Linked DNA regions of Mus musculus. The protein of the gene in region 2 purifies or fractionates together with the protein of the main gene of each other region. This does not show direct contact. Links are inferred from orthologs where the notes say so. Each region holds a gene or a part of one and is shown on either strand. Other genes may lie near its edges.

Region 1 (5,039 bases), on a different chromosome or scaffold from region 2:
GGACAAGGTTTCATTCCGCAAGTGACAAGGAGTGGCTGCAGAGGGGCTGTGACTATCTACATAACTAACAAGGCCAGCTGGGACTATCTCATAGCTGCTGGTAACTCCAACTCCAGGAGATTCCACGCCCTCTTCTGGGATCCTCACACATATAAATGAGAAGACATTTTAAAATAAGTTTCTATGCCTGGTTCTCACAAAATACCATCCCTTGGAGGAGGCAGTATAAGAAGAAAACTCTGTCTTTATCCCAGGCTAGCTTCTCATTCCTCCTGTGTCACACCCCTGTAATGTTGTGGTTACAACTATATGCTACTACCCCCAGGTTCTCACAAAATATTTTGCTGTTCGTCTAAGACACCTTCTTATAGAAGAGCTACAAACTGAAATCTCAGATGAACAAAAAATGAATTGCAAGAAAGACAACCTCCAACAGCACACCCAAGGCCTGACACCATCTCAGGAACACACTGGGGCTCTTGAAACAAGAGGGGGATTTACTTTATAACTTATTAAAATACATTTCTAGGTGATTCTACAAAATAATGAAAAGCGGGAATGTCAGGTTTGGTATTTCTGTAATTCCAAGCACTTGGAAGCTGAAGCAGGAGAACTGCCAAGAGCCTGGGCCGACAGATGAGTTCTAGGCCAGCCTATGCGTCTGTGAAATCATACCAAGCACCACAATAAAAAACAGTAATGATGATGTAAAGAGAACAAACTAATGAACCATCTGATTAAGTTATCTTAGCCAGACCCCGGAGTACAGGGCTACAATCCCAGATAATGAGGATGACACAAAAGGATCAAAAGTCCCATGGCCAACCTAGCCAACAAAGTAAGACCCTGTTTCAAAATAGAACATGAAAAGGTGGCTGGAAATCTGTCTCCTTAGAACAGTGCTTCTCTAGCATGTGTGAGGCCCTAGCACCACAGAAAGATAAATAAATGCTGCAATGTTTATATATATATATATATATATATATATATATATATATTATTTTAGGGATAACACCACTTAAACATCTATACAGTTGTAATTTCTATTTATTATATGCAAACAAAAATCAGCTCATACAGCCAACAGTCTTGGCTTAAGACATAATCTAATCCAACAGTTCTCAATGTACAGTTTCAGACCAATAGCATCAGTGCTGTAAGATATTATAGAAGGTGGGCTATGGTGGTCAGCATCTTAATCCTACCATTAGGCATGAAGAGGCACAGAGATCTCTGTGAGTTCAAGGCTAGTGTGGTCTACAGAGTAGACAAGCAGGACAACCAGGGCTACACAGGGAGACCCTGTTTTGAAGAACAACATGAAGAAATGTTAAAGATAATATTAAATATAAAGTAAATTTAGACTAAATTAAAAGGTTTACAAGATGAATCAACAGGTAAAGGTGTAGAGGGATTGTAATCCAGTAGCCAACATGGCTACACGCGTTGGAATGCAGACCTGTCCTAAGCACACACCTTTATTTAAACCCAGACAGTGAAGAAATAGTTCCGTTTCTAGAAGGAAGCACCCAGTTTGAAAGTGGTATCTGATTGAGTGGCAGACAAAGTGACAAATCAGAGAAAGATCTGACTGAACAGGATATGCCCAACTCTCAAGCAAACAGAAAGGAAGGCGAACCTACTCAAGGGGCAGGGCAGAGAGAGAACAGGCAGCTTTACCGACAGACACCGTCATAGAGACACAGGCTGCAGAAGAGAACAAGCTAGACTCAGGTGAAGACAGAATGAGAAGGAGCCAGACGATTACGGCATACTGCCAAGTTAGAATGAGGCCAAGCAGAACATTTCAGTCAGAGGCTGAGAAAGAAGCCAGACTGAAGCAGTCAGCTGGGAGCAGAGTTTGAGCCAGAAAAGTTCAGAAAGAACTAGAAAGGGTGAGCTTTTACAGCAGTAAGTCTGACAGGCTAAGAACTTTCTAGGCCTAGACTAGATGGTAAGGAGACCGGAAGCTTCCAGGTGTAGGCCTAGGTTAGCAGATGGAGGTAGTAAGTCTCTGAGAGGACAATTACATCAGGTGAATAAGTGATTTTAACAGAAAGGGGCCTGCTGTCATCCCTGAGAACCTGATTCTGATTGCTATAACCTCCACCCACCCCTGTGTCAGGCACATACATGCATTCGCACTGCTGTTTGGACACACGCAAGCACACGGATACACAAAGTCTTTTCTGTTTATATTAGATGATAAAACAGATTTTGCTGGAGGTCCTTCACTACCTTAGCTTTCAGAGCTTCTAGTTTCAAAATGAGAAGTAGAACAGCTAATGAAGGCTCACCAGGCCTGGTGCACTGTCTTCGTCGCTGCTTTCCGCGTCCACACTGAGAGTCGCTGAATCCGAGGTCCTCTTGGGTCCCAGCCTGGTACTTTCAGTATAAGCATCCACGGATGATTTCAGCAGAAGGGAATCTGCCTTGGAAGATAAGGCCTTCATTTTTGAAGTTAAAACCTTTCTACGAGTCTTCTTCCGATCTTTCTTCTTATGGACCACTGATTTGCTAGAATTATTTACAACCGGGGATTTGGACAACTTAAGTAGGCCTAGCTTGGAATTGCTGAGTGAAAACGGGTAAAGATAAACCTTAGCTGTTTTCCTTAAAGTTGTAATCTGTATCGGTCTCAGAGAAGTATAAGCAATATGTTCATTTTCTTTATATTCATTCACCTATTCGGGAAATAAAGGAAAAGAGTATTAGGAACGCCGGACTATGCTCTTCCATAGCAAAGCATGAAACAAATCTGCTTAAACAAGTCTAACTCCTATTCCACAGTCACATGATTCAAATTGATGGCTTGTTAGGAAATTTTTTGCTCCTCCAAAATTTGGATACAAAAATCTCTAACCTGACCAGAAATTCTGAAGGCAAATTTCAGTGTGAGGTGATTACAACAAAGGTCAGATTCAGGTTAGTTGTAATTGCTTAAAGCTCACACTAACTCTTCAAAACAACTGCAGGGGAGCCAGGAGAAAGGGCCCCAAGTCCTACAATCCTACACTACAGTCTTGGGGTTGGCCTAGAACTCACAATGTAGACCAGTGACATGGTGGCCTCTAACAGATTTCCACCTGTTTCTGCCTTGTGAGTTACGGGATTAAAGGCAAACCTACCATAATTCCTGGAGTTGTTAGTAAATTTTCCTCAAAATTTAAGTACCTAATAGTCTGTTTAAATTTGAAAAAAAAAAAAAAAAAGCAGAAATCACAGCTTTTCCTTGGCGCCAGGTGACAGTGACTAGCAGATCCCTCCCGGGCCGAATCAGGTCTCACCTGCACAAGGGGACACTGTTTGGAGCCTGCCTTTTCCTCAGATTCAGCCTTGGACCCAGACATATTTCTGCCACTCAGCTGCTGAGCTCTTCCCGCTGCGACCAAGGCGAGATTGGGCGGGGCCCGAGGGATGTGGGCGGGCCCGAGGGAGGAGCCTCCGCGGTCAGCACGGAAGAGCTGTGTGGATTCCCTGGGCCATTAAGGCTTCTGGCGCCTGTTTTGTTTTGTGTTCTGGATAGCTCACCCCTCTGCACCTTCTAGGTCTGAACCTGCAGGTCACCTTTCGGGCAGGACTGGCTCACAAGCCAGCTCCAAGGATGCGCCTGTGTCCATCCCCTCAATGCCGGGGCTTTTACCGGTGCTGAGAATTTGATCTCAAGCTTCAAATTTGCGCGGCTACAGCTCTTACCTACCTAGTGAGCCATCTACCCGGCTGTGTTTTGTTTTGTTTAAACCCAGCTACATCTCTCTATGTCACCCTAGCTAGCCCCGTAATCCTACTGCTCTGCTTCCGGAATGAGGGGGTGCAGGATCTAAATCAGCACTTACACTGGATCCTGTAATATTGAGCCTTGTACACCTCGAGATCTTGCTTTTAAAAATACTGCTGTTTTGCAGCATGACCTCTGGAAAAGATCCATATCCTCATAAATATCATAAGGATTGGAAGAAAAATAAGCATAAAAGTCAATAGGCAGAACTTGAAAGAAATAACACAGGTGCTGGCATTAGGACCTGTGTTTGATTCCCAGCACCCAAATTCAAGCACAGGTGATGCAAGACAAGTGGACTTCTGCAGCTCCATGGCCAAACTGACTAACCTGAACACAGAGCCCAGGTCCAACAGACGCTGTCTCAAACACAAGGGAGATGATGCACAGGTTAGGATGCTTGCCACCCAAGCCTAGCATCTTTATCTTACTCCCAGAGCCTCCATAAGGGCCATTTCTCCATTTCTCATTGTTGTCCTCTGATCTTCATATGTGCACCAGAGCACCTCAATAACAATATCAATAAGAATTTTTAAAAGTTAGATAGCTCCTGAGGAAGGACATTCAAGATTGCCCTCTGAACCTCTATGTGCATGTATGTACACAAATGAACTCCCACCACCACCACCACCACCGAGGTGTGCACTCACCCCGAGTGCACACCAACAAGAAACATTCAGCCGTTACTTCTGCCCACTTTCTTGCAATACAACTATGAGAAAATTACGCCTCACCACTGCTATACAGTTTTCAATCATAATAAAGGGAACAGCTAAGCACGGTGAATCCCGCCTGCCTGTCACCCCAGACTTGGGAGGTGGAGGCAGGTGGGCTAGAAATTCAGTCTTCATCATCAGCTATATAGGTAAATCAAGGGAAACCTGTAGTACATGAACTCCAGTCGCCAAGAGAAAGGGAGCACTGAAAGAAAAGAAGGAGGGCGCTGGAGAGATGGCTCAGTGGTTAAGAGCACTGACTGCTCTTCAAAAGGTCCTGAGTTCAAGTCCCAGCAACTACATGGTGGCTCACAACCATCTGTAATGGGATCCGATGCCCTCTTCTGGTATGTGTGACAGCTACAGTGTATTTGTATAAATAACATAAATAAATCTAAGAAGGGAAGAAAAGAAAAGAAAGGAAAAGAGAGAGAGAGAGAGAGAGAGAGAAAGGAAAGTAAGCAGTTCATGTTGCTTGGGTTCTAAGTGCTGAAAAAGCTGGTTTAAGTTGCACATGACTACCTGTCCACCTGCTTCTAAATAAA
Region 2 (7,206 bases):
TCTAAATGTAAAACTGTCAGCTCTGTCTAAATACAAGGTCTTAGATTAGGACAAAGATCTGTTGCTTTGTTGTTTTTGAGACAGGGTTTCATGTAGCTGGCCTTGAGCTGGCTAGTAGAGGAGGCTGGCCTTGAACTCTTCTCTGCCTGCTGAGTGCTGGGGTTACATAAGTGTGCTATTACTACCAGTTATGGCAAAAGTTTAGTTTTTATTTTTTAGGGGGATACTAAAAACATAACCTAAAAGAACAGCTGATAAGACACTTAACTTCAAAATTTAAATCACTGTTCTTCAAAGGACATAGATTAGTTAAGGGATAAGCTATGGGCTAGAAGAAAATACTAGCAACACCTATATAGAACTTATATCCGGAATACATACTAAACTCACACATTCAATAACGGGAAAATAATCTAAGCAGATGAAGCTGAGCACCCTGGCCCATATCTGTAATCCCAGCACTTGGGAGGTTGGCACAGGAGGACTCCAAGTTTGCAGGCAGAGCAAGCTACACAGTGAGATAAGAGGGAAGCAGGGAGAGGGGATGGCAGGAGGAGGCAGGGAGCCAGCAGATCTGAGCAGCAAACTGCATCAAAAGTATAGAAGAGCAACAGGCACACAAACAGACAGACACCTGCCGTCAACAGGGACGGTAAATTAAACCCGTTTGTAAAACTCGACGGCACCAAATGCTGGTGAGAATGTGGAGTAAAGGACCCTCAAGCTACCGCAGTGGGGAAAATGGAGTCACTTGGAAGAGCTGCAGCTTCTTATGAAAGGAAGCACACATTTTCTGTATCTGAGATACTTTCCTGAGAAGAATGAAAACACATTCCCACACATGATGTATGCAACGTTCATAGCGGCCCTGCTGGTCATGTTCCCACTGGACACCCAAACGGCCACTACCTGATGAATAAGCCAACTGCACTATAGACACTCTACTTGTTAATAAAAGTAATATGCACTTGGGGGCACAAAGGAGGGATTTCAAAGAGGGTGTCCAGGGGCCATGGAGAGAGGAAAGGAGGAGGACAGGGATGGAAGGAATTCTATTTCAAATACTAAACACATTAATAAACAAAAACAAACAAACCAAAATGCCAAACTGTTAGCACCAGAGGAAATGGCAAACGCCATTCTAGATAAGAGCCAGATGCCAGAGGACTGCAAATGCGCTGCTCCTTCTAGATAGAGGTGGAGGAGTAGAGAGAACACGGCAGCAGCTGCCACAGCTGGGGAACGGGAGGGGATGAGTTCACGGGGCAGCCCTTCGTTACCGGGGAGGGAAACAGTCTACATTTTCACTGAGCGGCTGGCAAACAACTCTATCTTAGGCCATTAAAATCTACTGGGACAAGTATGTTAGAGTTAACCTATAGCCCCGGCACATGAGCGGCAGCCGGGACTAATACCCAGTGAGACCTTTTTTTTTCCCCATAGTTATAAGGTACACTGTCCCAGTCTTCACACATACCAGAAGGAGGCATCAGATCCCATGACAGATGGTTGTGAGTCACCATGTAGTTGCTGGGAATTGAACTCAGGACCTCTGTAAGAGCATTCTTAACTGCTGAGCCATCTCTCCAGCCCCACAGTGAATCTCGTAAAAAATAAAACCAACCGACTCTCTCTTCTCATAAAAAAATAAAATAAACAAAATAAACCTACTGGAGCACATGTCACATGCCCCCAACACTGTATTCATATGCACACCTACACATAGGCACATACTTAAAATAATAAAAATAAAAGCAAATCTTTAGGCGGGTGTAGTAGTGCATAATGTTAATTCCAGCACCAAGAGACAGAGGCAGGAAGATCTCTGTAAGTCAGACTGTTCACAGTGAGTTCTAGAATAGCCAAGGCTACACAGTGAGCCCTGTCTAAACAAAACAAAAACAAAACCTTAAATAAAATCCTCTCCTTCAATACACAATCAACTCACAAACTTAAGACAAAGAACAGACACATATACACCAATCCGTCACCATCGGCCAGTGGTCCCTTACCCAGAATGCTTGGGGCTACTAGTGTTGTGGATTTCAGATGTTTTTCTTCCGGATTAATACTTGCACATACACAATGATGTATCTGGGTACTGAGAATCAAGTGTAAACAGACACAAAGCTGACTCGTACCCCATATCCCTTGTTTTATCATTGTGTGTGTACACCAAGTGTATGTGTGGGTGCTTGTGTCACGTCAAGAGGCTGGAGGTCTGGGGATGCGTCTCCAGTCAGTTTTCTCCTTCCACCTTTTTGAGGGTTCTGAGGTTCGAACACAAGTTGTCAAGCTGGCTCTGCCAGCGCTTTACCTACTGGGTCATCTGGCTGGCCCTAGCTCGATGGTCATTTTATTCAACAGTTTTAGCATATACTGTGTTCTGTCTGAGGCCCAGCAGAGGAAGTCAGGTGTGGGTCTTTTTTTCATGAGTGCACTACAAGTTTTGGATTTGGGAGTTTGGGGTTGGGAGTGATGGGCCTGCCACAGGTTCCTTCGGGTACCACTGCTTACTTTTCTTCTTGTGCTTTCTGTAACTTACAATACACTCAGTTTGTAACCAGGATAAAACAAGCCTCTTAGGTAACTTTTAAGTAACATATAAGTAATTATTTGTTCTATCACAAACTAAAACACAGAATATTTAGCAGTTATTGTATAAAACCATGACAGAAAAGTGTGCTTGAAACAGCAAAATGTACTTCGGATGATTTTCCCCCCCTGTTGCAGACACAACTTGTCTTTAAGTTAAAACTACCAGAATCGCCGGGCGTGGTGGCGCACACCTTTAATCCCAGCACTCGGGAGGCAGAGGCAGGTGGAGTTCTGAGTTCAAGGCCAGCCTGGTCTACAGAGTGAGTTCCAGGACAGCCAGAGCAACACAGAGAAACCCTGTCTCAAAAAAAAACAAAACAAAACAAAACAAAAACCCTACCAGAATCTGTCTGCAACCTTATTTGCAATAATTAAACTACAAAACAGTGTGTGTGTGTTGGGGAGGGGGTGTGTGTGTCACAACCCAGGGACCCTACTAGCAAGTGGGGCCGTACTGAGTTCCATGTATAACACACTGGCACTCTGATAACACTGAAGACTGCTGGGGGCTCTGTGCCTCTTAGCTCCAAACACCTCCTTTCTTCTGGCGCTGGGAAAACGTACACCTCCTAAGCAGCCTGGTCTAAGCCTCAACACACAGCACTAATCCAGGGCGGCGATCCATAGAAACACCTGCTGACCCAGGGTTTCGCGGCTTCCGCTAGGGAAGGCTCGGGCCGCAGCTTCTCCCCGGGCGGGCGGGCGGACGGGCGGGCCTCCCTAGCGTTGGCCCCGGTGGCTGCTGGAGGAGGAACCCAGCCAGGTGCTCGCAGGCCCTCGCCGCCGCTCACCTGGTACAGCTCCTCCAGGTTGTACCTGATGGATGTGCTGCTCTGGATGGCCTTGACCGCTTCGTGAAGCTTCCGCCACGTGTCCTGAGTGTAGTTGTCAGGCAGCCGCGGCCTGTCTGTGGGGGAGAGAGGGTCAACGGCCGCGCGGGGACAGCACAGGCCGGGGCACCGAGGCAGGGCCCGGCCGGGCTAGCCAGGAGGTGCGGGATCGGGGCCAGCTGGGGCGCGGGGACGTGGCGGAGCGTGAGGTGCAGGGACAAGTCGGGTTGCGGCGCCGAGACGGGACAGTGCGGGAACCAGGCGGGCCGGGGCGCGGGGACAGGGCCTGCCGGGCAGCCCCAGGAGGCCCTGTCCGAGCGCGCGACCCGCCGGCCGCCCCGTTCGCTCCTCACCGGAGCGCACCCACCTCGGAAGTTCTTGATGACCAGCTTCCTGGAGCCTCCCGTGCCCCCCGGCTTGGCGGGGCCACCGGCCAACGCCGCGGGCTTGGTGAGGCCGTTGGTGCGGCCCATGAGAGCCGAGACGCTGCCCTTCCGAGGGCCCTCGTCCGCCATGGCTGGGCCGGACGCCGCCCCGCCCCGCGCCGCCCGGCTCCTCCTCCTGCCCTGCGCCCGCTCCGTGCGCGCCCGGCTCCTCCTCCTGCTGCTGTCGGGCTCCGCCCGTGAGCGCTCGGCTCCTCCTCTTTCTGCTCGCGGCCGGGTCCGCGCGCCCGAGGCCCAACCGCCGCGGCGCGCACCGGAACGATCCGGCTCCTCCTCCTATGCGCGAACTCCGCCCAAGGAGGGCTCGGGGACTCGCAGGCGTTCTACAACGAATGCTCGCGAGAGGGCGCCGTGACACCTGCACCGAGGGCTCCGGAGCTCGCCGCCCCACGTCACGTCGAGGGCCGTGACGAGGACACCCCGGCGAGGACTTGAGTGGATAAAAGCACCCGGCAACCTTGCCTCCTGGATCACCTTACACCTAGGATGCTCAGGGATGCTGCTCCGTGCGCTAGCGCGCCGAGGGGTTGGGGACGGGATGCTCTGCACCCATTTATCTGGGGTGCCCCAGTGTGAGATGTGGGAGGACTCAGGAACACATCCTAGGAGTGCGCGGGACGCCTTCCCAGTGGGCTCTGGACTTTGGTTCCGGGAGAGTCAGGAGCGCCTCTGCACACGGAGGGTTGGGGATCGGGTCACCCTCATGGGAGAGGGGTGCGAGGAATCGGGTCGCTAGCACACCGACGTGACCAGGGACACGTTCCCAAGTCGGTTGGGAACTCCTCCACGTCAGTCCTCCGCCCTCGCGCGCGCCCCCGCCGCACCCGAGGCGTCCCGGCGACCGCGCTGACAGCTGCCCCCAAAGAAGTGCTCTCACCACCGGCTCGGCTCGGCTCGGCTCGGCTCGCTCCACCTTCACCCGCTCCGGAACCAACGTGCAGAGGTTACCGTGTGGGGACAAGGAGCGGAAACGGACCTGCGCCGGAAGTGAGGCACTCAACACCCGCGGCCGCCGCTATGGCGCACATCACCATTAACCAGTACCTACAGCAGGTGGGTTTCGCTTGGTATCCTGGCCTACGGGCCACGAGGGGTGAGTCCTGGGGCCGGGTCGGACGGTGCCGGGGGTCCTGCGGCTGGCCTCGAGGCGAGGAGGGTGTGCTGCACGCGGTGGGCAGCCTGCCTTGTTCGGAAGTTGCAGGTGCTGCCCGGTGGACCAGGAGGAGGAGGATCCGAGGTGGAGGTAGCAAGATCGGGGCCACTTGTAGAAACGGTTGTCTGTGTAGTCAGCGCTGCTGTCCGCACGAAGCACGTTGTGTCTCTTGGCAGCGGTGCCCATCAAGGCTTTACTTAAAGCCTGGGAGTGGCACAGGCAAACACTGTTGCATCCGGGTGGAGGGCCGTGATTGCGTCTTCTAGGGTGTTGAAGATGTGAATCCCACTAGGCAACACACCTGGTGCAAGGGGCAGCCAGATAGGGAAGACTGATGAACGTTTTAACTGACTACACTTGCTGCTCATGGCTGCTTATGAACCTTGGATTTGCGCTTAGCTCTATTACCAAAGCCCCCTTTTCCTGTCCCAAACAGCTCAGTTTTGGGTACTACAGTACTAGAAGCAGTACTTGTGTGCTTCTTAAGTAGCGGCACTATTGTCGGTGCTGCGTGTGCATATGTATTCTCTTTGATTCCATCACAAGGCCCTCCTTGAAGAGCTCCGTAGGCGGCTAACCCAAGTCTTCCCAGCTCAGAAGCATCAGAGACTGGCTCTACAGTGCACATGTTTAACACTTAGCAAGATGCTAATTCTGGAGATCACGCTTGAACCTTAGTGATCTCATTGTTGGCCAAAAGACCAGTCTTTATTTCAACACACTGGCAATAGCCTTGGCCAGTGGCTACCTGTTAACAAATTGCTTGTCTCTCTTTCCCCATGATTCCTGTGCTGATTTCCCAGAAGCTGTTGGGGTCAGGTTGGTTGAATTTTGCCATCCTTACCGGTGTTAATAAGGTTAAGAGTAGCCTGTTACTCTTGTGACTGCTTGAGCCAGGAATAAAGGTCTTTCTTTCCTGTCACAGGGAATGGCATGGCATCAGCATGCTTGTGCTGCTTCCGGGTTATCCCAAGTCCATAGTGATGTTTTGATGGCCTGCAAGGGGAGCCTGCATATGTTTCAAAGAGAGAAACGTGGAGCTTGAGGAGTCTACTCCTTACAGCAAGGAGTGAGGTCCACTTTTCTTCAAGGTCAAACTAGAAGGAAACTTTACTCCATTTCCTAAGGTTAACAGTAATAAATTACCTCTAATTCAGAACCCACAGCCAAAGAACATCACAGACATCGTAGCCCTAAGAACAAGGACATTCACTGTAACCACAATGCATTTAGTAGCCTGAGAACTTTGACACTGATGCATGTAACTTTTAATTTTCCAATGTTTTGCACATTTTTTGTTTTTTTGTTTTTCAGTAGATATTTGCTTTATTTACATTCCAAATGTTGTCCTCTTTCCTGGTTTCCCTTCTGAAAATTCCCATCCCCTTTCCCTCTCCCCCTGCTCACCAACCCACCCACACTGGCTTCCTGGCCCTGGCCTTCCCCTACACTGGGCCATAGAGCCTTCACAGGACCAAGGGCCTCTCCTCCCATTGATAACTGACTAGGCCATCCTCTGCTACATATGCAGCTGGAGCCATGAGTCCCACCATGTGTTTTCTTTGGTGGTTTAGTCCCTGGGAGCTCTGGGGTTGCTGGTTAGTTCATATTGTTGTTCCTCCTATGGGGCTGCAGACCCCTTCAGCTCCTTAGGTCCTTTCTCTAGCTTCTTCGTTGGAGATCCTGTGCTCAGTCCAATGGTAAGCTTCGAGGATCCACCTCTGTATTTGTCAGGCACTGGTGGGGCCTCTCTGGAGACAGCTATAACAGTCTTCTTTCAGTAAGCATTTGTTGGCATCCACAAAAGTGTCTGGGTTTGGTGATTGTATATGGGATGGATCGCTTAGGTGTGCAAATTGTTTCTTAGGATTTGTTTTTTGAATCCAGAGTGCAATCCAGAGTTACACATTGCATGTATTCTTGTTCTAGATAATGTGGGACTGTGAGCTTCCTGTCCTCCAGTCCCTTTTGTAGAGGTGGGTTACCCTCACTGAGAGCCCTTTCCCAGACCAGGTATCGTCTTCGTTGTCCAGGATATGATTTTTCTGTTTTCCTTTCTATATTGATTTTCTTTTTATGTGGATCTGGGGACTGAAGCTAGGGTCTTATGCATCTAGGCAAGTGCTCTATCATTCATTGAGTCACATCCTGGCCCTCTTTCTATTTGTATCTGCTGTTTGCT

The links. The genes of interacting proteins can lie anywhere in the genome.
Region 1: the proteins of Cul4a (region 2) and Wdr76 purify together in Homo sapiens (affinity purification with western blotting; 3 studies listed by BioGRID). This does not show direct contact. The link is inferred for Mus musculus from reciprocal best matches to the Homo sapiens genes CUL4A and WDR76.

What each region holds. Positions count from the first base shown.
Region 1 is NC_000068.7:121,508,184-121,513,222, reverse strand, and holds part of Wdr76 (WD repeat-containing protein 76), read right to left. Parts: intron 4,747-5,039; exon of another isoform or gene 3,351-4,746; coding exon of another isoform or gene 3,288-3,350; intron 2,685-3,287; coding exon of another isoform or gene 2,454-2,684; coding exon 2,298-2,453; intron 1-2,297. UniProt on the Homo sapiens protein: Specifically binds 5-hydroxymethylcytosine (5hmC), suggesting that it acts as a specific reader of 5hmC.
Region 2 is NC_000074.6:13,102,493-13,109,698, reverse strand, and holds the start of Cul4a (cullin-4A), read right to left. Parts: upstream 4,077-7,206; 5' UTR 3,944-4,076; coding exon 3,796-3,943; intron 3,506-3,795; coding exon 3,390-3,505; intron 1-3,389. Other genes in the region: Pcid2 (PCI domain-containing protein 2), read left to right, coding at 4,889-4,924. UniProt on the Homo sapiens protein: Core component of multiple cullin-RING-based E3 ubiquitin-protein ligase complexes which mediate the ubiquitination of target proteins. As a scaffold protein may contribute to catalysis through positioning of the substrate and the ubiquitin-conjugating enzyme.